Linked DNA regions of Oryctolagus cuniculus. The protein of the gene in region 7 interacts with the protein of the main gene of each other region in a biochemical or structural test. Links are inferred from orthologs where the notes say so. Each region holds a gene or a part of one and is shown on either strand. Other genes may lie near its edges. The genes, in order: RELA, TNFRSF1A, COPS5, NFKBIA, UBC, TRIM21 and IKBKB.

Region 1 (4,312 bases), on a different chromosome or scaffold from region 7:
GCCTGGGAGGGCAGTGGAGGATGGTCCAGGTCCTTGGGCCCCTGCACCCGCATGGGAGACCTATCTCTCTCTGCTTTTCAAACAAATAAATCTTAAAAAACAAACAAACAAAAAACAATGTTGCTTGCATCGTGCACACCCCATTGCGGAGTCGCGGCTGGGCTCCCCCTTCCCGCTTCCTGCTAAGGCAGACCCTGGCGGGCAGCCGGGGCAGCAGCCAAGACTCGGGGTCCCTGCCGCTCGGGCGGCGCCCGTCTGAGACCCCCGCCCGAGACCCCCGCCCCTGGCCTCAGCTGGCGCAGCTCCCCGGCTGCTGGCCGGCGTCTGGGCCGTGATGCAGGGGCGGGAGGCCGCTCTGCCTTTCAAGGAAATAAAACGCTGATTATTCGGAGTGGACGGCGCACGCGCAGCCCCCGCGGCCGGGAAGCGGACTGCGCCGGAGACACCGGCGGGTGGGCGGGGTGCTCGCTCTCTTTCACTTTTCTCTTCCTGTTTTTTCAGAGCCTGGGAAAGCAAGTCAGAATTTCCAATCTTTTCCAATTCCCACATGGTTTCCTAATTTAGTGCGAGTTCGGAGAAGATACACACACACACAAAGTCTCCCCCGCACCCCGCTTTGGGGAAGCCGCGCGCAGCCTCACCCCAGGAGAGGGTCTGTGCCAGCCCCAGGCCCGCCCCCCGCCCGCAGGGCCGCGGCGGGAGGCCCCGGGCACTCTCGCGGGGGGCGGGACCCTGCGGGTTCGGGCGGCCCCTGGGGGTCCCGGGCGTGGGCAGGCGAGCGCGCCAGGGTGCAGAGAGGAGGCTGCGGGGCCGATCCGGGCGCCTCCCGCACTCGTCTCCGATGGGCCGCCCGCGGGCCGGGGCTGGCGCGGCCGAGGGCCCGGCTCGCCCGCTGCGGGCAGTGGCCGGCGGGGACGTCGGGCGCGCCCCGCACCCCGCGCGCCCCCCGCGCCGAGACGCGTGCGGGGTGAAGCCGCCGGCTCTCCGCGCGCGGGGCGGGCGGCCGCCGCCCAGCCGCTCTGGCCGCGCTCCAGCCCGGCCCGGGTGACATCACCAAGCTCCTCCGACCCGCGGGAGGGGGCCCCCGAAATCCCCTAAAAACAAAGTGAGTAATCGGCAGGCCCGCCCTCCAGGCGGGGCTGGGACGCGGGGGCGAGCGGAGCCGCCCCGGGAGCCGCCTCCGGGCGGGCGGGCGGGTGAGCGTCGGTGTCCGGAGCGGCCGGCGTCTGCCCCCGGCCCCCGCGGGCTCGCCCCGGCGCGGCGCGCACCTGCCCGGACCCCCGCGCGGGGCGGCGGCGGCGGCGGCGGCACAGGCACAGCGCGCAGGCGCGGCCGGGTTCCGGGCAGTGACGCGGCGACGGGCGCGCGCGGCGCATTTCCGCCTCTGGCGAATGGCTCCCCTGTAGCGCGCGCCGCGGGCCCAGCTGCGACCCCGGCCCCGCCCCCGGGACCCCGGCCATGGACGGTGAGGGCGCCCCGGGAGCCGGCGGGGAGGCCGCGCCGGGGCCGCGGGGGCTGTGGCGGGACCCCCGGGCCGCCTTCCGCCGCTTCCTGCGCCGCGGGCGCTGCTGCGCCAGGGAGCGGTCCGGCCGGCCGGTGGCGCGGGGCGGGGCGGGCGGCGGGGGTCTGACTCAGTTTCCCCTCCGCGTGGAGGGGGCCTTGACCGGGGGCCCTCCCGGGGTGGGGGTGCGGGGTGAGCTTTGAGGCGAGTCCGTCGCATGGCCTCTGGGGCAGCCCTGATGGAGTTGTTATGGGAGAGGGTGTGAGTCAGTTTCCTCTCGGGTGGGGGCTGGGGGGTGGGGGGCGCCCTCCCACAGCTCCTCCGAGGACAGTGGGCCGGGCCCTGACTCGGGTTCCCTCAGCACAGCCGGGGGTCCAGACCCCGTTTGCCCTTAGGAAACAGGTGTTTCTGGCTCCTGTACCCCCCACGGAGCAGGTCCTGACTCAGTTTCCCTGGGGCGGGGGGTGGAGGGGACCTGGGCTTGTGCTGACCCTTACCTCCTCCCCTTTCAGACCTGTTCCCCCTCATCTTCCCCTCGGGTAAGTGGGCCGGCCCTGCTCGGTGGCGGGGAGGGGCTCCGGGGGCTGGGGGGCTGGGGGCAGCCCCTGATGGGACCCCCGGCCCCCGCAGAGCCAGCCCAGGCCTCGGGCCCCTTCGTGGAGATCATCGAGCAGCCCAAGCAGCGGGGCATGCGCTTCCGCTACAAGTGCGAGGGCCGCTCGGCGGGCAGCATCCCCGGCGAGCGGAGCACGGACACCACCAAGACCCACCCCACCATCAAGGTCAGTCCTGCTCCCCCTGTGGCGGGCCGGGCGCGGGGGAGGGGCCGCCGAGCCGGCCCTGCCCCCAGCACGCGCTGTACTTTGCACAGATCAATGGCTACACGGGACCCGGGACGGTGCGCATCTCCCTGGTCACCAAGGACCCCCCTCACCGGCCTCACCCGCACGAGCTGGTCGGCAAAGACTGCCGGGACGGCTTCTACGAGGCCGAGCTCTGCCCGGACCGCTGCATCCACAGGTGAGCGCCCGGGGCCGCGCTGGGCGGACTGCTCTCTCCTGCGCTCCTCCTTTCTGGGAGTGGGACTCCTGGGGGACGGGCTGGGGCCCTGACCCTGTGGCTGCCAGCGAACCTGCGGTTCCCCCGAGCGCGCACCCGCGGACAGGCTGTAGGTCGTGCAGATAAACGGTGCACGTGGTGTCAGCCGTGACTTCCAGGCTGGGAGAGAGCCCGGCCGAGGGAGGGGTGCTGGTCTCGTGGCCTGGGGGCGGGAGGCCCGGGGTGGCCTCTGTCAGCTAGGCCTTGAATGGTGAGGCTGATCGGAGAAGCCCGGAAGCATCCCGGGGCGAAGGGAGAGGTGCCGAGGTCAGGGCCTGAGGGCGGGAGGCCGTCGACAGGAGCGGTGGTGTTGCAGCGCAGGGGAGCCGCTGCAGCCGCTGCAGCCAGGACCGGGGCGGATGGGGAGGTGCAGACGGGGCACCGCGGGAGGGTCCGCGCTCTGACGGGGAGGGGCTCAGCTTCCAGAACCTGGGGATCCAGTGTGTGAAGAAGCGCGACCTGGAGCAGGCCATCAGTCAGCGCATCCAGACGAACAACAACCCCTTCCAAGGTGAGGCCCCCCAGCTGCCCGCCCCGCCCCCGCCCCCGCCCCCAGCTGCCCGCCCCGCCCCCAGCCTCCGCCCCCGCCCCCAGCCTCCGCCCCAGCCCCAGGCCTCCGCCCCCGCCCCCAGCCCCCGTCCCCCCCAGCTGCCGCCCCGCCCCCCCAGCCTCCGCCCCCACCCGGCCCCCACCCCAGGCCTCCTGGCCAAGACGCCGCAGCCGGACACCACGTCCCGGCAGGGGACAGGACTGCGGGGTCCCAGTGCAGGCCTTTGTCCGGCGCTGTGGCACCCTTCGCCAGCCCCCAGGCCAGAGCGGCCGGCCCTCCCCGCCCCGTGTGACACCTGCCCGTCCGCCCGTCCGTTGTGACAGTGCCCATAGAAGAGCAGCGTGGGGACTACGACCTGAACGCCGTGAGGCTCTGCTTCCAGGTGACAGTGCGGGACCCAGCAGGCAGGCCCCTACGCCTGCAGCCTGTCCTCTCCCATCCCATCTTTGACAACCGTGAGTGGCTCGGGGGTCACGGGCAGGGGCCGGGGTGGGCCTGGGCGGCAGGAAGGCTGGTGGGCTGGGCTGCGGCGAGCTTCTGCCCGTCGTCCGGCATCCGTGTGTCATCTCCCGTGCCCAGCCCTGCTGGCTGCAGACAGGCAGGGACAGACCCAGAGCCGTCCTTGCTCTAGAGGGTGTGGCTTCGGGGCTGGCGGGGGTCTGATAGGAAGTGGGCGTTTTCCGGATCACGTGGCGAGAGAGTGGCATGCCCCCACCTACACCACGGACTGTGGGAAGTGGACATTACGAGAGCGAGGTGTCCTGGGCGGTGACGATTCCCTGATGACAGCCCGGGAAGCTTGCAGAGGGACTGGGCGGCATCATCAGTTGCAGTTTTTAATTAAATAATGAGCAGGATGAATAAAAATAGAGCAGCGCGGGAACCCTGGGGGCAGGAAGCAGGGTCAGGAGGGACGGGCGCGTGGCCAAGGTGGGTACGATGGGGCCCGGGAGACTGCCCGGGTCAGCGTGGCTCGCGCTGGGTCTGGAAGCCCCACGAGGGCAGAGCAGCGTGGGTCCCAGGCGTGGTGTTCTTGCCAGGGATAGCGCCGAGCCCGCCGGGGTGTGGGGCCGGGGAGGCGGTGTGGCGTGGGCTGCGCAGGCGCGGGGCAGCCTGGGCCCTGGGCTGGGCAGGCCGCGCGTCTCCCGTGGGCCGCCCCAGGA
Region 2 (3,790 bases), on a different chromosome or scaffold from region 7:
TATATCAAGAGATAGCAAAGATGTTTGTGAGGCAAAGATACAATCTCTATGTGTGTCTGTGTGTCTCTTTGTTTTTAGTTTGTGTGATTTATGTGATTCGGTGTGTCCTGTGTGTGTATCTCTGTGTGTCTGTGTATCTCAGTGTTTTGTATATGTGTGTGTTTTGTGTATCGGCGTGTATACCTGTGTGTCTGTGTTTTGTTTGTGTATCTCTGTGTCTGTGTGTTTTGAGTATGTGTTTTGTGTGTGTCTGCTGTGTATCTGTGTGTCCGTGTTTTTGTTTGTGTATCTGTCTGTTTTGTGTCTCTGTGTTTTGCCTGTGTCTGTGCTGTGTATCTGTGTGTCTGTGTATCGCTGTATTTTGTGTATGTGTGTGTTTTGTGTGTGTATCTGTGCGTATCTCTGTGTGTCTGTGTTTGGGGTATCTGTGTCTGTGTTTTGTGTATCTCTGTGACTGTTTTGTGTATTGTGTTTTGCGTGTGTCCGTGCTGTGTACCTCTGTCTGTGTTTTGTTTGTGTATCTCTGTGTGTTTTGTGTATCTGTGTTTTGCGTGTGTCCGTGTTGTGTGTGTGTGTGTGTTTTGTTTGTGTATCTCTGTGTGTTTTGTGTAGCTGTGTTTTGCGTGTGTCCGTGCTGTGTATCTCTGTGTCTGTGTTTTGCTTGTGTATCTCTGTGTGTTTTGTGTATCTGTTTTGCGTGTGTCCGTGCTGTGTATCTGTGTGTGTGTGTTCTCCAGTGGCAGGGCCTCTGTTCACCATCGCCGTCTCCTCTTTCAGTTGTAAGGAGAACCCAGTGTGCATGAAACTGTGCCTGCCCCCGACCGGGAACGTCCAGGGCTCTCAGGACTCAGGTGAGGAGGAGCGCCCTCGCCCAGCTGCCCTCTACAGTCCTTGCCCCTCCCCCACCCACCCATCCCCCCACCCATCCCCTGACCATGAACTTCGCTCTGCAGGCGCCACAGTGCTGCTGCCCCTGGTGATCTTCTTTGGTCTGTGCCTGCTCTCCCTGCTCTTCACTGTTTTAATGTGCCACTACCAGCGGCGGTGGAAGCCCAAGTTCTACTCCATTGGTGAGGGGGCCCTTGGCAGGGGACAGGGCGCTGGGGAGCCTGTGGGAGGAGGCTGGGTGGCTCAGACACGCAAGCGTGGGGGGTGCGAGGAGGAGGGTCCCCCATCTCACTGCCCAGGACTCTGTGGGTGGAGGGGGGCCCTGAGTGGCTAGGGGGAGGTCACGCTCTGTCGCTAGTTCTCTTGTCCCTGGGGCCACATAAGCCGTGAGGCATGTCACCACAAGTCCCCACTGCCAACCCCAGGACGGGGCGCCAGGCCTGAGAAGAGGGGAAGTGAAATTTATACTCTGTTTCTTTTTTCTCAGTTTGTGGGAAAGCGACACCTGTCAAAGAGGTGAGATGAAACCAGAGACCTGCCCCCCAAATTTCCCTGACTGCTCCTTATCATTGTAACACCCCGATCACCTGGGATCACCCTTGCTCCCACTCGGGGGCTCCCCTAATTCCCTCCAGCCCCAACCCCCAACCAGAATGAGGGCTGAGGCTGCCTTCCCCTCCCCCACTAACGCTGTGCCCACTCTCTTTCAGGGGGAGCTTGAAGGTCTTCCTGCCAAACCCCTCGCCCCTGCCCCAGGAGTCTGCCCGCCTCCAGGCTTCAGCCCCATCCCCGGCTTCAGCCCCGACCTGGGCATCTGTACCAACTCCACTTCCACCTTTCCCCGTGAGGACTGGCCCAGCTTCAGGGCTATGCCGCCCTCCAGAGGGGTGGCCCTGGCCTACCGGGAGGCTGAGCCCGTCCACACCACGGCCCTGGCCTCCACACCCATCCTCACCCCGCTTCAGAAGTGGGAGGACTGCAGCGCCCCCGCGGCGGTGGCCCCGCAGCAGCGCCCCGACAGTGAGTTCCTCGCGGGGTCGGGCGCGGCTCCGGGAGGCAGCAGGGCCGGGTGGAGGGCGGCCGCAGAAGGCTCAACGCCCCGCGTCCCCACAGCCGACCCCGTGACGCTGTATGCCGTGGTGGACGGCGTGCCCCCATCTCGCTGGCGGGAGTTTGTGCGGCGCCTGGGGCTCCGCGAGCACGAGATAGAGCGGCTGGAGCTGCAGAACGGGCGCTGCCTGCGCGAGGCCCAGTACAGCATGCTGGCGGCCTGGCGGCAGCGCACGCCGCGCCACGAAGCCACGCTGGACCTGCTGGGCAGCGTGCTCCGCGACATGGACCTGCTCGGCTGCCTGGAGGACATCGAGGCGGTGCTGGGCGGCCCCGCCTCCCAGCCGTCGGAGGCCCGCCTTCCGCGGTGAGGCCACGCCCCTCTGGGGGGCGCTGCGTGCCCCGCCCTGAGGCCACGCCCTCTCCGAAGGACGCTGAGTGCCCCGCTCTGTGAGGCCACGCCTCGGCTGCCTGGAGGACGTCGAGGAGGCGCGGCATGGCCCGCTTCCCCCTCCTGTCGCTCCGCCTTGCCTGATGGAGCCACGCCCCCGGCTGCCAGGAGGACTTCGAGGAGGCGAGGCGTGGCCCCGCCTCCCCCTTCGCTCCGCCTCACCCGGTGGAGCCACGCCCCTGGCTGCCTGGAGGCCGTCGGAGGCGCTGTGTGTCCCTCCTCCTGGTCCCCGTCCCCGCCTCGGAGGAGGAGCCTACCCTGGGAGATGCCCTCTGGGCCTTTTCTTCTGGAGCGGATCCTGGAGGGGCAGGCGTGAACTAGCAGCCACTTACTTGGTGCTACCCGTTCCGTGCACACACACAGCGTTTCAAACTCAGCTGCCGGAGCACCGCCCAGCTGTGCCCGCTTGAGTGCTCCCGAGGCTGAGCGTGCCCGGGGCCCGAGTGGGTGGTTGTGGACTACAGGACGTGGAGGGCCCAGCAGAGCTGCTCCGGCCCCTGGTAGGTCCGGGGACCTCTCTCGCAGCAGATAAGCATGTTTATATCAGTTGTGTCACACTAATAGAACCCTGGCGCCCCTCTGCCCCTTGCCCGGACGCGTCCTGGGGCAGGGGCCAAGGGCAGAACAGTGAGCCCTCCAGCCGGAGCGGCAGGCTTTTGTAAATTCACTAAAACCCAGAAATTAAAGCTCCACTCCCACGGGGATGGTCTGTCTCTGTGGGCATCTGCACCCTGAGGGGTGGGGTGGGGAAAGTCCCAACCCAGGGCCAGAGGGCCCACCAGTCGCGCGGTGACAGCACCCCCCCACACACACCCCCATCTTCCCAGGCTCAAGCAATGCCACCCACGCAGCCGTTTTTATGCACAACTTTAGGGGGGGCGCAGGGGTGTCTGTGGTACATAAATCTACAGTTCCTGATGGCCAGATGGCCAGAGTCCTCGCAGCAGAAGGCAGGTGCCGGGAAGTGTGGTCCTTGAGGTAGTGTGGGGGCAGGGGTGACCAGCACTCTCCGGGAGAGCCTTCCTCCCCGATGCTCACACCTCTCTGAAAAGAAAGGAGGTGGCCAGTAGGCGAGGGTCCAGGGGTGTGGAAGAGGCCCCGCCCCCCGTCTGTCCCCCCCGCCCCCCCCCCGCCAGCTCCCCTTCAGCACTTACGAAGTGGACAAGGGCGTGTCCAACTGTATGACTTGCGGACCCCGCATCCTCTGCAGCTGGGCGCGGGTCAGCTTCCGAGGCTTGCCGTCCCCGGGCTCTGTAGCTCCCTCGATCCTTTGCGTGGCCAGTTCCTCCCGGATCTGTCGGAGCATGTCCTCAGCGCTGAGTGGCCGGACGCACGGCCTGCGGGCTGGCCCAGAGAACGGAGGCCCCTCTTCTTCCTCGTCGGCAGAGGACTCCCAGGGGC
Region 3 (4,445 bases), on a different chromosome or scaffold from region 7:
AGGACCGCGCGACCGAGGGCGCCCCCTGCCTTCCCGGAGGACGCACAGCCACCCACCTGCGCCCAGGGTTTTGTTAAACCTTGGGAGTCGCTTCCCAGGTTGAATTAATTCCTGCTTTCCAACCCACCACTCCGCGGTCGATCCGAGGACAGCCTGAGTCTGAGGTCCGGGAAGGTAGAGGCAGTAAGAAGAATACCAATGGCACACTCTCCTAAGCCAGGAGTCTGGTCAGCGCAAGTCCCGGGCTTTCAATACCATTTTCAACGTGTAATTCAATTCACACCAATACTAAGTAATCAAATGCTCCCACTGAAAAAGATTTTTTGACTTCGCAAGAAACTAAGAATGCTAATGTCTCCTAGGGGCCCTAATTTATCCTTACTTTGCAAGTCGACTTTAAAGGCAAATTTTAAGCTGAAAATGTCAAAACCGCAGACTGTGGTGTGGATTCCATAACCCTAATTTTCTATTTGTTCTATCGATCTGCCACGCACCCTACTAGGAGTGGAGGATTCAAGGCAGTGCGAGGTATCCTGAACTCTGAAAAAAAGAAACCTCCATGTAAACCGATACTCGTACATAATTACAACACAATGCGAGTTAAGAAGTACCTGTCTTACAGACTTGGAGACACCGTGGAAGAAATGGTCCTGGAGAGTGAAGACAGACCTCAGAACTGTGCTTTCAGATTAATATGAGCTCGCAGGCAGAAAAGCCAGGGAAGCGCGTGTTAATCAAGCAACGCTGACCACATCCGAGTACTGTTGTGCTAAGTCCAAGTGTGGGGAATGGCACTACTGGAAAGAAAGGTTTCAAGGGGGAACTGAAGAGAGATGGAACTGGAGAGGTGCGTAGGGACTAGGTTATGAAGAGCTGCGATGTTTTCTTTTTTTCCAGCAAAAAGATCTTTATCCCTAACACCCAGGTGTTAGAAATAAAACAAAGAGCACAGAACTGGTCCCTGCGTCTTTAAACGCAGAATCTAGTGCGGACGGAGAAGAGAGGGAAAAACACGTAAACCAAACACAGGAAACAAACATAGTATCAACGGGAGGCAACAAAAAGGTTGCTGAGATTAACTCCGTCCAGGCTATTAAGCGCTGCAGACTTAACTCATGAGAACTGAGTATTGGACATTTGCATCACTAACAGCTCATAATAAATGTAGGGACATGAAACGTCTACGTCACAGGATAAAACCGTAACAATTCACTCGCTTTTGCCGCCTCCCGCGAGCGCTAGAAAACGCCCACCTGAAATCCACGAGCCCGCAGTTCTACGCATGTGTACTGGGTCACTTGGAAGCAAAACAGGATGCCATATTTATCTTCCTCGCAGCCAAAATCCAGTACTTACATTTAAATTTCTCCAGACATCCTTTTTATTTTTTTCCTAGTCTTTCAAGAAACTTTCCATCTAAGACAGCTACACCCACACGAAAACACTTTCCTCTGCCCAACTTGCAGCTCCGCCCACATTTAATATGGCGGAAAATGCGCCTGCGCAGTACTAACTAAGAGGCCACGGCAGTTTCTGGCATAACGTTAACGTGCCCTTCTTCCGTTGTGAAAGGCTATACCATTCCCATGGCAAATGATTGTGTTTGCCCTATTTCATAGATACAGTTTTCCAAGACGATATGTTCTCATTTAACCCACATTAATATTCCCCTTGCCACAGCTGTTACACTAACTACCGATTTATCGTCGCTTCTCCTAACAGCCCCCTCCATCCCCGAATGGTCCGTACCAACTTCACCTCCGGTTCTAGGTGTCATGGCTGCCTCGAGAGTCTAGGAAGAGTTTGCACCTGTGGTGGGAAGGGTCCAAAACCCACACCCAGGGAGCTAGAAAAGTAAAGTTGCGTCTCGGCCGTAGAAGCGAAAGCTTCTCTGATTCCTCGGCGATGGCGGCGTCCGGGAGCGGTATGGCCCAGAAAACCTGGGAATTGGCCAACAACATGCAGGAAGCCCAGAGCATCGATGAAATCTACAAATACGACAAAAAACAGCAGCAAGAAATCCTGGCGGCGAAGCCCTGGACTAAGGAGTGAGGAGGTCCCTGGAGACTCGCAGGGGAGGGACGGGGTGGTTAGAGTTTGAGAGACCCGAGGGTGGGGGAGTGGGAATTGGAGTGGGTGGACGGCTTGGCTTTTCATGGTCCAGGAGAGATTATGCACCTGAAACAGAATTTGATCTACCTTCATCCCCGCACGTGTAGTGTATGCTCCTCCGCTGCGGCCTGCTTTGCCCGTTCTGTCTGTTAACTCTTTTGCCTCTGGAGGATGTAAGGGATGAACAGCAAGCAGAGATTTAGGTTATCACTTTTCAACATCCTGATTATTATATCTGCCAGTATCTGCTTTGAACCCTGTGTGGACTACACCTTGTTGGGGCCTTCAGCTGGTCCCTGACGGGAACCGCAGCTCTTTTCAGAAATTGAGTCAGCAGCTCACCTGTCTTGCAGATAGCTGTGAGCCATCTTTTTAGAGATCTGTAGTAGTTCTTTGATTGCTGGTAATTATTTCAGAGGCACAGTCAGCCTCTAACCAATTTCTAAAATATTACTCCACCAGTGTCACCTAAGTCTGAGATTAAAAAATAGACCTTAAGGCTCTTACCCCTTAGCAAAATTCATGCATCCCTGGGAGTGATGACAAGTCAAGGATTATTAATCCATAACATTTATCCTTTACCAAAAGAAGACTTTTGTTGGGGAAAGAGTAAAAAGAGAGTAAAAGAAAACTGTTTAATAGATACAAAGGAGAGCTGTGGCAAGCCCAGGACATACTTCCTGCCACACCGTCTTTTACAAGCCTAGCTTTAACTGTCAGTTAGGTGCAGCAGTGTTTACTGATAACTCAACATGGGCCAAACACTGAGTTAGGGATCTGCATTTGTCATTTTAATCATCATGACAACCCAGTACTGTACTTTCATTCGTTTTTTCAAGTAAGGAAACAAGCAAATACCTCATGATCACATTGAGGCAATGTAATAGGAGCACAATAACAGTTATCTTTTTTCTTTTCCCGTTAGAACACAATTTTAATTTGTATCTTAACTTCCAACACCAAGCCTCTGTGTTTTTCAGCTTGTGAAATCTGGCAAAGGTTGGGAATTAAGTTTCTGTGCTTTTCTCTGGGCAAACATTTAGCTCAGAAACACCAACTAACCACTCTGTACAGCGTACAGGCTGGTTAGGTTGCCTGGTTGTCGACTTCTATAGCAGCTGTACATTTTAGGTTGACCTCCTCTGTTAGATATTTGGAAGCCATCACTTTGTTACACTGTCTCACAGTAGTTCTAATTATATCCCTCCTAGCTGTCTTGGGCTGCATCAGTCAGACCAAAATATAGTTTTACTTAAAAGTTGACTCACAGCCACCACTGACAAATTCAAGAACAGTGATCATGGGACAGCTAAGGATATTAGAGACACTTTTTAATTTTGAGGCTGATATTACAGAGGAAAGCCACATCTTTCAAAATATTGTTGTTTCAGAGTACTGAGAATACTGTAACAGAAATTAATAATGCTAAAAACAGATAGCATTATTAAGGTTTTACTTTGGATCAGACACTAAAGCTAGGCACTTTATTATTTCATTCATTTTATTTCATCCTAATGACTCTGAACTAGTCCCGCTTACCCTAAGCAATGTAATGTGAGACACGCAGACATTAAGAGGTTGTCCTAATGTCACAGCTAAGGAATGGCAGTGCAAGAGTCAAACATAGGCAGATAGATGTCAGAGCCCACATTCTTTTAACCATTAGACCAAAAGGTTAGGCCTAAGAATAGTTAAACACAGCCATCCATCCAGTATTAGAATCAGATATTTGATCATTGCAAATCAACAGAGGAAAAGTCTCTTGAACTCATTGCTACTTCCACATTTGAATAGCATGTTAAAAGAGAGAGAGGACTGTTTCAGACCCTTCCTTTCCCCAGGGGGGAATATTTTGCAGGAGTATGACATGTTTGTTATTTCCATACCCATGCAGGTCATCTGTCCTTTACTACTACTTCCCACATTCTACACAGCCCTTATATCAATTTAAATTCTCTCAGTAACTTATTTTAAAAAAAAAAGTCTTTGGATATTTTATTTCAAATAAGAAATATAATTACATTGTGATTTTATTTTGTAGTCATCATTACTTTAAGTACTGCAAAATCTCAGCATTGGCTCTACTGAAAATGGTGATGCATGCCAGATCAGGAGGCAACTTGGAGGTGATGGGCTTGATGCTAGGAAAGGTGGACGGTGAAACCATGATCATTATGGACAGTTTTGCTTTGCCTGTAGAGGGCACTGAAACCCGAGTAAATGCTCAAGCTGCAGCATATGAGTACATGGCTGCATACATAGAAAACGCCAAACAGGTAAAAATCTTGTTTATTAAACTGTGGTAACAAAAAAAAATCTTGTTTATTAAACTG
Region 4 (4,395 bases), on a different chromosome or scaffold from region 7:
CAAAAAATATTTACTGACTTGTGCAGCCAGTGCGCAGTGACTTTGACCCTGGAACCGAGGCCTCCTGCCTGCATCACTGTGCGACCTTGCCTTGATAAACCCGTGTGTGCGGTTCCTAAGCCTGCAGACACTGCAGTCTCTACTGGGAAGTTCTCACTCTAACATGTGACCATTACTACTGAGGGGTTTATTTCTTGATTTTACTTTTTTGCCCTCATATTTTGTCCTAGTGACCCTATCCCCTATGTTCCATATGGGGGGAACAGGTGGAGATCCGAGGAGAGGCAAGGGTTGCTTTGTACCTGATCAGTAAGGCGAAGGTGATTGCCACAACCTCCAGAAACCTCTGCAGAGGCCCCTGGAGCTCATGCTCAAAGCCGATCAAAGCCGATTTGATTACCTGCACCAATTCCAGAAGTAGTTGAATTCAGCCCAGTCTGCCGCTTCGGGGGCCGGAGCATAACCTCTCTAAAGCCAGGGGATTCTCTCAAGAGTGGCACTGCAGGAATGGCTCCAGCTACTGCCCTCTCCCAGAGCACACGGGGGAGCCGCCTGGAACCTCCCGCGGGGGGCCTGGCAGTTACTCTTGGCCATCTTTCAGGCCCAATCCTGGGTAAGACACTAACTGCCACCCATTGGTCAGGCTCCTCCCAATGCTGAAAAATTGCTCAGCTGGGCACTCAGAAATAGGCTCAGGATCCATTTCCTGCAGCACAGACCATGAACTTCGTTACTGCAAGGTTACCTGCAACCCCTCCCACCAAGACGAACTCCTTGCTTAACAAAAAGCAAACCCTTGAGGCCCCACTGAGCGCTGACCCCTCGCAGGGCGAGATCTGTCCCTCCCCCAGCCGACAGGCCTGTTAGTCCCCAGGACGGGACTTGGTTTAAAACCCAGCTTCTCCCCGAGGGGGTCGGGACGCCAGGAGCGCTTGCACCCTACAGGGCCGGGAATCTGCGGGAACCCAGGGGCCGCCCGCGAACTGCACCCAACTCTGGGGAAGACAAACCCCCACGGCCAGCCACCGTTTCCACTCTTGCGCTTCCGCAAGATCCGAGAAAACGGAAAGGACCGGCTGGGCGGCAAACCCCAAAGAGGAACGGCCCGGCAGGTCTGTGTCCTCGGGATCCCTGCAGCAGACGACCCCGAGTGCAATCGGCCGTGGGAAACCCCAGGGAGAGAGGAGGGCCCTGCAGGGTCGGCCTGGCCGCGCGCGGTCCGCAGGGAAGCACCGGGGCGGCGGCGGCCGCCGGGCCCGGAGGACTTTCCAGCCACTCAGCGCGCAGCGAGAAGTTCCCTGGACATGACCCCGGTGGGTCATCCCAGGGAGTTTCTCCGATGAACCCCGGCTCGGAGTTTAGGCTGCCTTTTTTTTTCCCCTAGCAGAGGACCAAGCCAGTTCTCTTTTCTGGTCTGACTGGCTTGGAAATTCCCCGCGCCTGACCCCGCCCCCAGAGAAATTCCCCGCCAGCGTTTATAGGGCGGCGCGGCGGCGCTGCCGAGCCCACAACAGTCGCAGCGCGCCGCCCGCCAGGAGCCGGCGACAGGACGAGGACGCCAGCGCGCAGCCCGCGGCCGAGCACCTGGGGAGCAGCGCCATGTTTCAGCCGGCCGAGCACGCTCAGGACTGGGCCATGGAGGGGCCCCGGGACGCGCTGAAGAAGGAGCGCCTGCTGGACGACCGCCACGACAGCGGCCTGGACTCCATGAAGGACGAGGAGTACGAGCAGATGGTGAAGGAGCTGCGCGAGATCCGCCTGGAGCCGCAGGAGGCGCCGCGCGCCGCCGAGCCCTGGAGGCAGCAGCTCACGGAGGACGGAGACTCGTAAGTGTCGGGGGGCTGAGGGCCGCGGGCCGGGCGGGGGGCGGCCGGGCCTGCAGCGCGGGCCCCGGGGCTGCAGCACAGCCGGGCTGGAGGGGGGGGATGGCCGTGCAGCGCCGCCGAGTCTGCCGCAAAGCTGCGGGGCGGCCGCGCGCGGGCCGGGGCTCCTCTGGGGGCTCCTCGGGCCGGCGGGGAAGGGCGTGGACGGCCCCGTCCCCGCACACCCCGAACCCCGCAGCCCGGCGCTCGCGGCGGGGGGCGGCGCGGCGGCAGGGACGCCGAGTCCCGGGTTGCATAAGGCGGGCGGGCGGGCGGGCGCCGCGCGGCCGGCGGGGGAAGTACAGGGCGTTCCGGGCCGCCGGGAGGGCGGGGCGGCCTGGCCGGCGCCGCCGCGGGGGGGGCGGGGCCCGGAAAGTCCCTGGGCGCCTGCCAGGAACACTCAGCTCATAATAACCCCGCGGAAAACACCGCGGCCCCGGCTCCAGAAACCCCGGCCTTGCGCAATCCCCCGCAGGCCGCGCCTCCCCGGGGCCCCACGCAGTGCGCTCACCGCCCCTTGCGGGGGGTTTTCCCCTCTCTGGCCTGCAGGTTCCTCCACTTGGCCATCATCCATGAAGAGAAGGCATTGACCATGGAAGTGATTCGCCAGGTGAAGGGAGACCTGGCCTTCCTCAACTTCCAGAACAACCTGCAGCAGGTGCGCCTGTCGTCCCCAGCCCTGTGCCCTCTGTGACCTCGGGATGCAGTCGATGTGGCACAGTCCTCCCCACCCCTAGCTCTCTGAAAGAACAGCCACAGGTCCTTACCTGCCCTGGCCTTTCACATTCCAATAAGCCGGTCTCCTGCAGAGTTAAAAGCCCACGGATTGGGTGAGGTCTTTGCGACCCACCCGGGGCCCTGGTCTTTGGCCCCCTGTCCCTGTCTGGGAGGAGCAGCACCCACCCCCGGGAGATGTCTGCGGCTCAGGGGCACTCGGAGGACGACTTTGCGCCGAGGCTTATCTGTGCTCGCTCTCCCACTCGTAGACGCCGCTCCACTTGGCTGTCATCACTAGCCAGCCAGAAATTGCTGAGGCACTGCTGGAAGCTGGCTGTGATCCTGAGCTGCGGGACTTTCGAGGAAACACTCCGCTGCACCTTGCCTGCGAGCAGGGCTGCCTGGCCAGCGTGGGCGTCCTCAAGCAGACCTGCACGGCCCAGCACCTGCACTCCATTCTGCAGGCCATCAACTACAACGGTACGCTGTGCTGTCCCAGGCGGGCGGCGCGGGGGAGGCGGGCTGGCCTAAGGCGTGCAGGGCAGAGCTTAAACTCCCAGCTTGTGAAAGCAGGAGGAAATGAGTATCAAGCGCCTGTCTCAGGCTGCTGGAATGTTCATTCAGAACCCAGATTCGGGCTCCTTAGAATTCAGGGGCCACATGTGCTTGTCCCATGAGTGACTAGGGGGACGGTGAAACAGGTGGTGATGCTCTCTTCCTTCTGTCCGTCTAGGCCACACGTGTCTGCACCTGGCTTCCATCCACGGCTACCTGGGCATTGTGGAGCTGTTGGTGTCCTGGGGTGCTGATGTCAACGCCCAGGTGAGTGCCTCACGAGCCAGGTGGAGTGCTGCTCTTTGCCAGCAACATGTCAGCCACACTGGCTGCACGCAGGAATGCCAGACGCCTCCTAAGCATCTCACACTCCTCTTGGCTCTAGGAACCCTGCAATGGGCGCACGGCCCTCCACCTCGCCGTGGACCTGCAGAATCCGGACCTGGTGTCGCTCTTGTTGAAGTGCGGGGCCGATGTCAACCGGGTCACCTACCAGGGCTACTCCCCGTACCAACTCACATGGGGCCGCCCCAGCACCCGGATCCAGCAGCAGCTGGGCCAGCTGACCTTGGAGAACCTCCAGAGGTTGCCCGAGAGTGAGGACGAGGAGAGCTGTGACACGGAGTCGGACGGCACGGAGGACGAGGTGAGCCCCATCCCCTACCCTGCCAGGCCCCTTCCCTTGAGCAGCCCTGGGATATTGGATAGAGCTCTCCGACTGTATAGAACCCCCCCCCCCCAATAAAAATAAAAGTAGCTTACCCTTCTTTAAGCAGCAAATCCTTCAAGGGAAATGCACTCAGCCTGTCAAGTTCATTGCACGGCGGGTGGGGGGATCGGAGCTGCAGTCGCAGCCAGGGCCCTGGCCTGCGGCCTGCAGCCCCGGGCTGGGCCTTGGAGGTTTACTCTCCTCTTCTTCTTCCAGCTGCCCTATGATGACTGCGTGTTCGGAGGCCAGCGCCTGACCTTGTGAGCACCAGGCGCCTGGAAAGCACGTGGACTTGTATATTTGTACAAAAAGAGAGTTTTATTTTTCTAAAAAAAAAAAAAGGAAAAAGGAAAAAAAATGCCAGGGGTGTCTTCCCGGCCCGAAGCGCTCAACTGTGGTGGATTGGCCCGCGTTCGGCTGTTTTTGTGAACTGTGCCTCGGGGAGAAGAAAGATTAGAATCCAGAGGAAAAACACCGCTTACACTTCGTTCTGGTGGGGGCTTTGGGGACGATTATCCAAAATCTCGTGAAAGGACCACGTTTTATTTATTT
Region 5 (3,939 bases), on a different chromosome or scaffold from region 7:
TTTAAGGGGTGGAAAAGTCCTCTAACAATGCTCAGGTAGATCTTCCCAGATCCACACAGCCGCAGGTTACCACAGCAACCACACAGCGGTTGTTCTGCCGGGGCTTCTCGGTGACATGACACTTGTAAAACGGTCTTCCCCTCTAAGGAGGGGCTGTGGTCCCGCCTCCGCCCCATCGTGGCAATGGAACATTCTAGAAGAGTCGCACAGCACAGCGTGGGGAGGGGGGGACTCGGGGCACGAGGGGGCAAATCCACCGCTAACGTTTAAGAGCCTCCAGCTCACCTGCTGGTCGACGCCACGATTCTCCCAAACACCAGGACACGACCCCGTGGCTGACCGTGCCCCTCCCCCTTGTGATCACAACGCGAGGTGCGCGTTTCATGCATCGGATCCCGGAAACACAGAGCGCAGCTTCGGTTCGCGTCCGTAAAAAGGCCCAGGTTAAAGCCCGGGCCGCACCAGGCGCCTCCGGCGGCGGCTTCCGGGGAGAGCCTGGGCGGCCGCGACCAGCCGCAACCAGCCAGCGCTGTCGGGGTCCGCCGTGGCTCCCCGCGGGTCTGCGCGCCGGCGGCCCGGGGCCGGGGCCGGGGCCGCGGAGGCGAGGGCAGGATGTGTCCAATCACCGGCCCGGCCCCCCACGAGACCACGGCGGTCACCTCAAACGCGACCCCACAGAAAGCCCCCTCGAGGTCACGGGCCGGGGGGACAGAGCGGGCCGCGCGCGGGGAGGCCCGGATGTGCCCAGTCACGGCCCGGCCCCCACGAGACCACGGCGGTCACCTCAGACGCGACCCCACAGAAAGCCCCCTAGAGGTCACGGGCCGTGGACACAGTGGGCCGCGGAGGCGAGGCCCGGATGTGCCCAGTCACGGCCCGGCCCCGACGAGACCACCGCGGTCACCTCAGACGCGACCCCACAGAAAGCCCCTCGAGGTCGCGGGCCGGGGACAGAGCGGGCCGCGCGCGGGGAGGGGGCGCCGGGCCGGAACCCCCGCGGGCCGCCCACCGACGGGCCGCTGCGGCCGAGGGGACGGGGCGCGGGGCGGAGCCGAAGCCCCCGGCCGCCCGCCCGCTCCGGGCGCCGCCCGGCTCCGCGCCGGGTCTTCCCGCCGCCCGCGCGCCGGCTCCCCTCCCCCAGGGCGGGCGCCCGCACGTCGGCCGCAGCACGCAGCAAACGCCCTGATCCCTCCGCCGGGCCCCTCAGGGCGGCGGCCCCTCCCCTCCCGGGCCCGGCGGTACCGCCCCGGGCTCGACCCGAGAACGTTTTGTGAGGGGGCCGACGGCCCCGGGCGCAGGGTTCCTTCCCGGAGGGCGGAAGAGGCTGAGGAAAGTAGTTCCTTCTCGGCGTTTCTGCGGAGGGATCTCGCCGGGGCGGCGGCTCGCCGTCGGACTATATAAGCGGGCGCCGGGCGCGGCGCAGCCAGTTCCGTCGGAGCCGGAGTTCGGTCGCCTTCATCCTGCGTACAGCTGCCGCCGCCGCCGCCGCCGCCGCCGCCGCCTGGTGAGTGGACCTCGTCGTGCTGGCCGGGGTGGGGGCGGCCCGCGGCCTCTCGGCCGTGAGGGAGGAGGGCGGTGCGGCTGCCCGCCGCGGGCGGGACGCCCTCCCGGGCGGGTAGTCGGCTGGGGTCGCCCCGCAGGCGGAAGAACCGACAAGATGGCGGCGCCGCCGAGCCGGGAGGTCAGGGTGCAGGGCGGACAGGGGCCGGAGAGCGCCGAGCGCCGCGAGGGTCTGAGGAGCGGAAGGCGGCGTCGCCGGGCCGCGTTTGGAGACGTGGGGGAGCGGTGTGGCGGGGCTGACGGGCAGCGCTGGGCCCCGGTTAGGGGCTGGGGAGTAGGGAGGCGCCTCGGCGCGGGGCTGCTCCAGCGGGTGGGGGGCGGCTCGCGCCGTGACGTCACCCGCGTGTTGGCACACAGAGCAGGGCGGGGCTGCCTCCCGGTGTGGGTGGCGTCGGTTTCTGTCAGTTGCAAGACACACGGTTAGGGCCTAGGCGAGATCCTGCTGAGTGGACGGGAACGCGAGCCGGAAGGGGGGAGGGACGGAAAAGCCCTGAGTTCACTGGTCACGTTTCCCTGCTTTCTTCATAACGAAGGGTCTGAGGCTGGGGTTTTGAAGTAATTTTTCAGGTTTGTGTTTGGTGTCCTTTGGAGTTCCTAAGCAAGTTATTAATTTTAATAGTGTAGATAAATAGACGATATTCAGTCTTTAGGAATATTAGTGAATTGTTTGCTGAATTTTTTTTTGTTTCTTTTTGTGTGTTTTCTCATAACAGACAATGCAGATCTTCGTGAAAACCTTAACTGGCAAGACCATCACCCTCGAGGTGGAGCCCAGTGACACCATCGAGAATGTCAAGGCAAAGATCCAGGACAAGGAGGGCATCCCCCCTGACCAGCAGAGGCTGATCTTTGCCGGCAAGCAGCTGGAAGACGGCCGCACCCTGTCCGACTACAACATCCAGAAGGAGTCCACCCTGCACCTGGTGCTGCGCCTCAGAGGTGGCATGCAGATCTTCGTGAAGACCCTGACCGGCAAGACCATCACCCTCGAGGTGGAGCCCAGTGACACCATCGAGAACGTCAAGGCGAAGATCCAGGACAAGGAGGGCATCCCCCCCGACCAGCAGAGGCTGATCTTTGCCGGCAAGCAGCTGGAAGACGGCCGCACCCTGTCCGACTACAACATCCAGAAGGAGTCCACCCTGCACCTGGTGCTGCGCCTCAGAGGTGGCATGCAGATCTTCGTGAAGACCCTGACCGGCAAGACCATCACCCTCGAGGTGGAGCCCAGTGACACCATCGAGAACGTCAAGGCGAAGATCCAGGACAAGGAGGGCATCCCCCCCGACCAGCAGAGGCTGATCTTTGCCGGCAAGCAGCTGGAAGACGGCCGCACCCTGTCCGACTACAACATCCAGAAGGAGTCCACCCTGCACCTGGTGCTGCGCCTCAGAGGTGGCATGCAGATCTTCGTGAAGACCCTGACCGGCAAGACCATCACCCTCGAGGTGGAGCCCAGTGACACCATCGAGAACGTCAAGGCGAAGATCCAGGACAAGGAGGGCATCCCCCCCGACCAGCAGAGGCTGATCTTTGCCGGCAAGCAGCTGGAAGACGGCCGCACCCTGTCCGACTACAACATCCAGAAGGAGTCCACCCTGCACCTGGTGCTGCGCCTCAGAGGTGGCATGCAGATCTTCGTGAAGACCCTGACCGGCAAGACCATCACCCTCGAGGTGGAGCCCAGTGACACCATCGAGAACGTCAAGGCGAAGATCCAGGACAAGGAGGGCATCCCCCCCGACCAGCAGAGGCTGATCTTTGCCGGCAAGCAGCTGGAAGATGGCCGCACCCTGTCCGACTACAACATCCAGAAGGAGTCCACCCTGCACCTGGTGCTGCGCCTCAGAGGTGGCATGCAGATCTTCGTGAAGACCCTGACCGGCAAGACCATCACCCTCGAGGTGGAGCCCAGTGACACCATCGAGAACGTCAAGGCGAAGATCCAGGACAAGGAGGGCATCCCCCCCGACCAGCAGAGGCTGATCTTTGCCGGCAAGCAGCTGGAAGACGGCCGCACCCTGTCCGACTACAACATCCAGAAGGAGTCCACCCTGCACCTGGTGCTGCGCCTCAGAGGTGGCATGCAGATCTTCGTGAAGACCCTGACCGGCAAGACCATCACCCTCGAGGTGGAGCCCAGTGACACCATCGAGAACGTCAAGGCGAAGATCCAGGACAAGGAGGGCATCCCCCCCGACCAGCAGAGGCTGATCTTTGCCGGCAAGCAGCTGGAAGATGGCCGCACCCTGTCCGACTACAACATCCAGAAGGAGTCCACCCTGCACCTGGTGCTGCGCCTCAGAGGTGGCATGCAGATCTTCGTGAAGACCCTGACCGGCAAGACCATCACCCTCGAGGTGGAGCCCAGTGACACCA
Region 6 (3,588 bases), on a different chromosome or scaffold from region 7:
GAAAAAAAAAAAAAAACCTAAATGAAAGATCTCCGCAAGTGAGATCCCAGTGGAAAGAATGGGCCATCAAAGAAGGAGGTACCTTTCTCTGAAGGGAGGAGAGAACTTCCACTTTGACCATGGCCTTGTCTAAAAATTATCAGAGTCAGTGAACTCAGGGGGCTTCCATAGCCTTGGCAGCTCATGACAAGAGCCTAGGGTGATTACTGAGGCCATAAACAAGAGTGTCAATTTGTTAAGTCAACAACAGGAGTCACTGTGCACTTACTCCTCATGTAGGATCTTTGTCCTCAGTGTGCTGTACATTGAGATTTAATGCTATAACTAGCACTCAAACAGTATTTTTCACTTTATGTTTCTGTGTGGAAGCAAACTGTTGAAATCTTCACTTAATGTATGCTAAACTGATCTTCTGTATATAAAGAGAATCGAAAATGAATCTTGATGTGAATGGAAGGGGAGAGGGAGTGGGAAAGGGGAGGGTTGCGGGTGGGAGGGACATTATGGGGGGGAAGCCATTGTAATCCATAAGCTGTACTTTGGAAATTTATATTCATTAAATAAAAGTTAAAAAATAAAATAAATAAAAGAGGGGGCAATATGATCATATATGCCTCTGAGAGGGTGGCAAAGGTAGAAAAACATGCCCTGGACTTTCCCGTGCTTGCCTCCCTGTTCTCAAGGAGATCCTCTATTAAGCACTTTCTGGTTTCAGAAGGCTAACAAATGGATAGCTCAGTTGCCAAGTTTCCCAGAGGATTTGGGCTATAATATCTTCACAGAGCAAATCCCCAACAACTGGGGAAAGGCTAGGAATTTCTCTAGCCTGCTGGGTCTGCTTTTTTAGAAGCAGTTACACCAGTTATAAACTACCTCGAAAGAGCTGTAAGACAGACCTACAGCATGGCCAGACTCCTTGAGGCTTCTCATAGATGTGATTCAGCCTGTATCAGACACCTTGCCTGTAAGATAAGATGGAGCCCAAGGTCACCAAGTAAGCATGAGAGAAGACACATGCTGCAAAGACTTTCATAACTAGGAATTTCTGGATAAATCCTGGAAATTTTTGCCTCTCATTCCTACTTCCCAGAGGCAATTATAAGTTTTGTACTTAACTATCACAATCCCCAAGGAAGTCATAGTGTTATGGTTGGGGTGGGGGAGCGGGTAGGTAATAGGAGTGGAAGACGAGTCTGAAACTCTTTCCCCAGGAGTGAGTCCTGGAGCCTGGAGGAGCTGAAAGTCATCTCACCAGACCTGAGGAGTGTGTGCCATGTGCCGGGGCTGAAGAAGATGCTGAGGACGTGTGGCGGTGAGGCGAGCTCTGGGAGTTGTGGGTGTGGGGCAGATGGGAATGATGAAAGTGTGGAGTAGACCCAGGATGGGGGAGGATGGACAGCAGTATGGAGGAGAGATGGCAGGTGGGGGAGAGATAGGAGTAGAGAAGGTAATCCCTTCAAAGGCCAGGGCAAGGCCAGGGCTCGCTGGAAGTCAGTTCCTCACCTGAGGAGGTCGGCCGCTCGTCCTCCTCCTGGAATTGACACAGATCCCCTTGCTACAGGCACAGGCTGAGGACTTCCCACACCCCAGGCCTGACCGTGGTGCTCTCTCTGCAGTACACATCACTCTGGATCCACAAACGGCCAATCCACAGCTCATCATCTCAGAGGACCTGAGACAAGTGAGGCTTGCAAACACCTGGCAGGATGTGCCAAAAAATGAAGAGAGATTTGATAATTATCCAATGGTCCTCGGTGCCCAGCACTTCAACTCTGGAAAGCATTACTGGGAAGTCAGTGTGAGGGGAAAGAGGGCCTGGGACCTGGGAGTCTGCAGAGCCTCGGTGCAGAGGAAGGGGAATTTTGTGCTCAACACTGAGAGAGGCTTCTGGACAATTTGGCTGTGGAAAGTAAAACAATATGAGGCTGGCACCTGTTCCCCAACCCCCCTCCACCTTCGGGTACCTCCATACCAAGTTGGGATCTTCCTGGACTATGAGGCCAGCACTGTTTCCTTCTACAATGTCACTGACCATGGGTCCCTGATCTACACCTTCTCTGACTGTGACTTTGCTGGACCTCTGCGGCCCTTCTTCAGTCCTGGTTTCAATGATGATGGAAAAAATGGAGCTCCTCTCACTCTCTGTCCACTGAAGATGGCATAGTCTGGACTCGCCAATTACTGAGGGCTCTTCATGGACACCCTCGTCCCATTGGGGCCCCTCCCAGCAGCAGCCCCTGCCTCTTTTGCCCATGAACGCTTGAGACACTTTTGCCTCTGCAGAGGTGTTGGGATCCCAGGAAGCAGTTGTTAGCAGGGGTGGGAGGTCACTGAAAGCCAATATCAAGTGGGTATTTCTGCTTTAAATTGCCGATTCCCTCCAGTGAAGCAAACTGCAGATTTAGCCCAAACTCACCTGAACCAGTTTCCACCTCCTTTATGTCGCTGAAGTTCTGTCCTAGGGGACAGCACTGTAGCATAGAAGGTTAAGCCACAGTTCAAATCCTGGTTTCTCCACTTCCAGTCCAGCTCCCAGCTAATGTGTCCGGGGAAGCAGTGGAAGAGGGCCAAGTCCTTGGGCCCCTGCACCCATGTGGGAGACCCAGACAAATCTCCTGGCTTCGGCCTGACCCAGCTCTAGTTATTGCGGCCATTTAGGTAGTGAACCAGCAAATAGAAGCTTGCTCACTCTCTTTCAAGTAAATAAACCTTTAAAAAAAAATCCTGTTTTAGCCTCTCCATCTTCAGGTTATTATCTTAGGTCAGAGCTCTGTTATACTGTGGGTGGTTTGTAAAATAGCTTCCTAAAAACAGTTGTGTTGTATTCTGCCCTTGTTCCTTAAACCTGAAATATTTGACAACTCTGATTAATAGTGATATACAACATTCCTTCAAAATGTTCATGGAAAATACATATGAAAAGTATGCATGGATTTCAATTTTTGCACCAAAATAAATGTATCTTAACTCCATTTTTTTTTTACAAACTTTAAAGTATGCTTAGATATCTAATGTTGCACATTTTTTCCTGCCTGGGCTGCCCTCCCTACTTCTGCATCTGGATTATTTGGTCTTGGGCAGAAGATACCAGTAAGAGTTTCCTCTCTTGATCTCCAAGTGGCCACTGTGATAATAGAAGGCATTTTGAGATTGCAGTCACTGCCCGAGGGCAGGTGCCCTTCACATAGAGGGAACTCCTGGGTTTGAAACAAAGTGCTCTCAGAGCTGGTACTGTTCTCTGTATCTCTGAAAGACCTGAGATGCTTCTGTCCATGTTCTTGGTTGACCAGTGAATGTCACTGATAGAGGGTGAAGGCTCGGGTGCCCTCAGCTCTCAGCGTTCTTCCTGGAAAATGGAACACTTCTACTCCTCCTGGGACATCCAAGTTTGCTATCATTCCTCTCTGAAATTCCCCCTTTCTTGGGCAAGTTTTTCTGGCTTTTCCAGGGGAACACATATGGCCTCCACTAAGGAATAGCAGAAGGGACTTGTCTGCAGTGAGTGAGACCATATCCTCAGTTATGAGAATGGAAGTTTGAGCAGGGTGGGATGTGTCTGTGTCCACCTGTGTTCCAAGTCAGCAGCTC
Region 7 (3,870 bases):
CCGTTCAGACCCCAGGTCAAATGCTCGCGCTCACCCATCATGACTGCTGACTGCTAGGAACAGGGCTGGCAGGGTGCTGTTTCTGTTTGTTTTGGAGACAACAGGGCGGGGACTGTCCAGCTTTGCCGGCCTTACACGGCCCACAGAATCATCTGGTCTGGCCCTGCAGGCAGGACTGGGAAGCCACTCAATCTACAGCGAGCTATCAGTTGATAAATGTGCGTGGCCTGCAAATGATGTTCTCAACAGCCAAGTGTCCCTGGGCAGAAAAAAGGTTCTGCAGCCTTGGAGACAGAAACAGGGAGGTCCCCCAGCTCAGGGCTCACCCTCCGACCACCCACGATGGCCAGGGCTGAGCGGGTGCCAGGCCGGAGCTGGGAATGCAATCCAGTTTTTCCATTAGGGTGACAGGGACCCAACTACTTGAACCATCACTGGGTCTGCATTAGCAGGAGCTAGAGCCAGAGGCCAGGCGCAAACCTAGGTCTTCCTGGCGATCTACCATTCCTCAACAGAGACCCAGGTGCCACCGCTGGGCCTGGGCCCCGGAACATGGCTCCCCTGGGAACACTCAAGCCCAGGGGGTGGGGGGACCCGGAGTCCCATCCCTGTCCCTTAACAGGGCCGAAACTGATTGACACTCTCAAAAAGGGTTATCCTTTGAACACTGGAAGAGAAGAGGATTAAATAACTACAGAAAACCCAGGACAAATAACTGAGCTTCTGGCACTGACTTCTTGACCTAAATGTGACAAACGCTGCTGCCCTCCCTGCCCAGCTCCCCCTGACTGCGCACAGTGGAGTGGCCTCCGTGTCACTTCCCCCATGGAGGACTGGTCCACCTGGTTCCTCTGCCCCTCCTCGGGCCCAGATGAACAGCTCCCAGGCCTGCCTTCTGTTCTGCGTTCCGCTCGTTGAGCCACCCTGTGTGAGCCGCGGTGTGGACGCAGAGCCGCCTCTCAGCGTGGGCGTGGACAGGGCCTCACGCCCCTGTGACGGCACGGCGCCCTTTCTGCTACTCAGCAATGTGGAATCGAAGGCTCAGAGGGCCGGCGCCTGCCTGGGCTCCTCGCAGGCACAGGTGGGACGGGCCCACAGAGCCTCCCGAGCCGAGGGAAGGTGTGCGGGCACTCACAAGTCGTCCAGCGTGCCCCCCTGCTTCCGGCCCATGGGGCTCCTCTGCAGGTCCACGATGTCGGTCTGCAGGGCCATCATCCGCTCCACAAGATGCTTCACTTCGTCCTCCTGAGGGAAGAGCTGTGCTGACGCCACCCGGCAGCATCAGAGCGGCCCGAGACGCACGTTTGCTGGGGCGGCAGGGTGGGGGCCAGACCCACACAAGACTCTCCACCGACTGGCTGGGCAGGACGCAGACCCCGGAGTCACCTTGGAGTCATGGCGCCTGGGTTCCGCTCTCCGTCTACCTCTCCCTAGCTGTGCAACTGCGGGCAACCCTCAGGTACGGCTCCCTCATCCCTAAAACACACGTCTCCTAGGGCCACTACAGGGGCGACGTGAGATCAGGGCGTGCGAGATCAGGCACAGGGTCTGGTATCTGAAGGATACTGAATACGCACGGCCTTCGCGTCTCTGAATCCGTGCATCCGTGTGGTGTGCACGGATGACGGGTCCCAGGGCCACGGCCGGGTGAAATAAAGGACTGTCTGGCCAGCACCCACCCCGTCAGTACAGGTTCCTGAAAGCAGGCACCAGGAGTGCACGGGAGAGCCGTGACAAAGCTGTGCCGGGTTCCTGTGCTCACGCTTCCTCCCTCGCCTTCGTGGGCACTATCTTTTGGCGGCCCCTGATTGGCACTGCAGGGAAAAGCCTTTGGCCTAGTGCGTGCTGGTCATTCAACCAGGAGGTCTTGGCTTTTCTCCGAGGGCGCTCAAAGCCTCGCTCCTCAGTTAAACCTGCATCTTCTCTGCCCATTCGTATAGCTCTGTGAGGAGCTACAGCAGGGCTCCCTTTACTGCCTATTCTCTCTCTCTCTCTCTCGGAGCTCCCTTCCAGCGAGTTTGGTGAAAGTCAAAGAACACAGCAAAGAAAACGCGGTTTCTGCCCTGAAGATCAACCTGGCATTTGATGCGAAAGCAGGAGAAGGCGGCAGCGAGCCTCATGCCCTTGGCAACACAGACACCCGAGAGTCTCCTACCCGCCCACACAGCTCCACGGCCTGTTCCATTTCCCTCCAGGCCAGCAGCAGCTTATCTGATGCTGGAAAAAAAAAGTGAAAAAGAAAAGAAAAATACCATAAAACCAAAACAGAAACAAGCAACTCTACTATCACAGGACAAAAGAAACCCCGTGAGAAGCACGGCCAAGGGCTCACTGCCAAGGGCACACTCACTGATCCCGAACTCGGTTTGCTCGCTATACTTCTCCAGGTCGATCTGGATGCTGGTTTTAAAGAAGTCCAACTTGGCCTTGAGCTGCTGGGATATGGAAGCCATGGAATTCTTCATCTTGGAGAGGCAGCTGTTATTACGGAGGAGGTTCATCCTGCAGGGGCCGCAAGACACGGGACCTTGAAGCACCCTGGGGACCCAAATGCCATTTCCTGCATAGTGGCAGAAGCCCTCAAACATCAAGGGAGGTCCCTGCCATCACTATTATTATTATTATTACATAATAACCATAAGGACACTCTTCTAGTCCTTAGCAATTCATGAAGTTCTGAACCAAAACGGGAAGCAGGCCAGCGCACACAAAGGGACACAAATCTAGCTTACACTAGCTGTGGCCACGCAGAGTGGGTACGTTTTTGGTAATAATAACTAGGGGAGTGTTGCTAACCCAGACTGCAACAAGCTCTCTGGGTTCCAGATTCTGTCCGCGGTCGCCAGCCCAGCCCGCAGCGTTGCCCTGGGCTCCACGCGCCAACCACATGCACCTCATCAGGGCTAGAAGAGGCTCCAGCCCACCCAGCCACTCGCCGCCCTTCCAAGCCAGTGTCTCCCTCGTTGTCTCAACGGCTGCTTCCGGGCCCCTGCCTCAGCCACCTCCCGCGGCCAGCGCCACCCGGCAGTTTCCAAGAGAGGAAGTCAGAGGGCGCCTGGCACCGTACATGGCAGCTCGCTGGCCCTGCTGCAGCCGGTTGCAGTCCTCCTTCAGGGTCTGGATGCTGTGCCAGACCTGGCCCCACACCTTCCTCAGCTGGAAGAAAGGGAGATTCCTCTTGGGCTCCTGAACTGGAAACAGAGGGGAAGGCCACCATGAACCACATCCTGCCTGCAGCCTGCCGGTGCTTTCACACTTAGAAACATTATGTAACTACTTTCCTATTATGCAAGTGTTTGGGTCTCCTGCCTGGTTCCTGCCGCCGACCTCTGTGGGACCTGTTCCAGCAGAAGTGAACCAGCGGGTCGGTGGTCGGTGAGGAACTGCGGCCTGGACTCAAAGAAGCAGCTCGGGAACCAGGTGGGGACTCACCCTCAGGCACCCAGGCCCACTGCTTTCATCAGAAGCTCTCTGTTCACAGAGTTTAAGGGGGAAAAGTTTTAAAAAAGACGCGGCTTCACTCAGCAGCACTGGGCATGCGTGAATAAACAAGAAGCCCGCAGGCTCTGAGGCCTTGGCCCCCGGCCATTCTCGGTGTGCGGGGAGGAGGTGGGGGAGATGTAGAATGGCCATCAGACATTCAAACAAGGGATCCTACACGGCCATTCCCGGAGGAGGCAGCTCCACATGGACCAACAGCGGGGAATCTCCAAACCACACTGCTGGGGGAACGAGGCAGCATGGAACCGCTCACGCCGCAGGCTACCCGAAGCCCTCGAGGGACACCCGAGGACCGGGTGAGCTTACTGGCCGGGGCATGGAGAGAGGGCACGGCCTACTTCTCACAGAATATTCATTCTCTTGTACTTC

What was found.
Region 1: of the proteins of IKBKB (region 7) and RELA, one has a biochemical effect on the other in vitro, tested with the Homo sapiens proteins (4 studies listed by BioGRID and IntAct). The link is inferred for Oryctolagus cuniculus from reciprocal best matches to the Homo sapiens genes IKBKB and RELA.
Region 2: of the proteins of IKBKB (region 7) and TNFRSF1A, one has a biochemical effect on the other in vitro, tested with the Homo sapiens proteins (2 studies listed by BioGRID, with this or other methods). The link is inferred for Oryctolagus cuniculus from reciprocal best matches to the Homo sapiens genes IKBKB and TNFRSF1A.
Region 3: of the proteins of IKBKB (region 7) and COPS5, one has a biochemical effect on the other in vitro, tested with the Homo sapiens proteins (2 studies listed by BioGRID). The link is inferred for Oryctolagus cuniculus from reciprocal best matches to the Homo sapiens genes IKBKB and COPS5.
Region 4: of the proteins of IKBKB (region 7) and NFKBIA, one has a biochemical effect on the other in vitro, tested with the Homo sapiens proteins (58 studies listed by BioGRID and IntAct, with this or other methods). The link is inferred for Oryctolagus cuniculus from reciprocal best matches to the Homo sapiens genes IKBKB and NFKBIA.
Region 5: the proteins of IKBKB (region 7) and UBC form a complex in vitro, tested with the Homo sapiens proteins (2 studies listed by BioGRID). The link is inferred for Oryctolagus cuniculus from reciprocal best matches to the Homo sapiens genes IKBKB and UBC.
Region 6: of the proteins of IKBKB (region 7) and TRIM21, one has a biochemical effect on the other in vitro, tested with the Homo sapiens proteins (2 studies listed by BioGRID). The link is inferred for Oryctolagus cuniculus from reciprocal best matches to the Homo sapiens genes IKBKB and TRIM21.

What each region holds. Positions count from the first base shown.
Region 1 is NC_091432.1:6,038,310-6,042,621, forward strand, and holds the start of RELA (transcription factor p65), read left to right. Parts: upstream 1-1,326; 5' UTR 1,327-1,458; coding exon 1,459-1,465; intron 1,466-2,013; coding exon 2,014-2,040; intron 2,041-2,131; coding exon 2,132-2,283; intron 2,284-2,372; coding exon 2,373-2,521; intron 2,522-3,018; coding exon 3,019-3,110; intron 3,111-3,472; coding exon 3,473-3,604; intron 3,605-4,312. UniProt on the Homo sapiens protein: NF-kappa-B is a pleiotropic transcription factor present in almost all cell types and is the endpoint of a series of signal transduction events that are initiated by a vast array of stimuli related to many biological processes such as inflammation, immunity, differentiation, cell growth, tumorigenesis and apoptosis.
Region 2 is NC_091440.1:103,146,880-103,150,669, forward strand, and holds the end of TNFRSF1A (tumor necrosis factor receptor superfamily member 1A), read left to right. Parts: intron 1-777; coding exon 778-851; intron 852-953; coding exon 954-1,070; intron 1,071-1,375; coding exon 1,376-1,404; intron 1,405-1,598; coding exon 1,599-1,908; intron 1,909-2,001; coding exon 2,002-2,309; 3' UTR 2,310-3,091; downstream 3,092-3,790. Other genes in the region: PLEKHG6 (pleckstrin homology domain-containing family G member 6), read right to left, coding at 3,424-3,433, 3,544-3,790.
Region 3 is NC_091437.1:92,681,388-92,685,832, reverse strand, and holds the start of COPS5 (COP9 signalosome complex subunit 5), read left to right. Parts: upstream 1-1,540; 5' UTR 1,541-1,905; coding exon 1,906-2,048; exon of another isoform or gene 2,049-2,056; intron 2,057-4,153; coding exon 4,154-4,388; intron 4,389-4,445. UniProt on the Homo sapiens protein: Probable protease subunit of the COP9 signalosome complex (CSN), a complex involved in various cellular and developmental processes.
Region 4 is NC_091443.1:40,158,318-40,162,712, forward strand, and holds the start of NFKBIA (NF-kappa-B inhibitor alpha), read left to right. Parts: upstream 1-1,392; 5' UTR 1,393-1,599; coding exon 1,600-1,826; intron 1,827-2,411; coding exon 2,412-2,520; intron 2,521-2,848; coding exon 2,849-3,059; intron 3,060-3,312; coding exon 3,313-3,401; intron 3,402-3,519; coding exon 3,520-3,780; intron 3,781-3,896; exon of another isoform or gene 3,897-4,059; coding exon 4,060-4,107; 3' UTR 4,108-4,395. UniProt on the Homo sapiens protein: Inhibits the activity of dimeric NF-kappa-B/REL complexes by trapping REL (RELA/p65 and NFKB1/p50) dimers in the cytoplasm by masking their nuclear localization signals.
Region 5 is NC_091452.1:5,127,078-5,131,016, forward strand, and holds the start of UBC (polyubiquitin-C), read left to right. Parts: upstream 1-1,139; 5' UTR 1,140-1,504; intron 1,505-1,958; exon of another isoform or gene 1,959-2,127; intron 2,128-2,273; 5' UTR 2,274-2,276; coding exon 2,277-3,939.
Region 6 is NC_091432.1:62,646,690-62,650,277, forward strand, and holds the end of TRIM21 (E3 ubiquitin-protein ligase TRIM21), read left to right. Parts: intron 1-1,211; coding exon 1,212-1,312; intron 1,313-1,616; coding exon 1,617-2,164; 3' UTR 2,165-2,972; downstream 2,973-3,588. UniProt on the Homo sapiens protein: E3 ubiquitin-protein ligase whose activity is dependent on E2 enzymes, UBE2D1, UBE2D2, UBE2E1 and UBE2E2.
Region 7 is NC_091433.1:92,506,534-92,510,403, reverse strand, and holds part of IKBKB (inhibitor of nuclear factor kappa-B kinase subunit beta), read right to left. Parts: intron 3,192-3,870; coding exon 3,068-3,191; intron 2,503-3,067; coding exon 2,351-2,502; intron 2,218-2,350; coding exon 2,156-2,217; intron 1,246-2,155; coding exon 1,136-1,245; intron 1-1,135.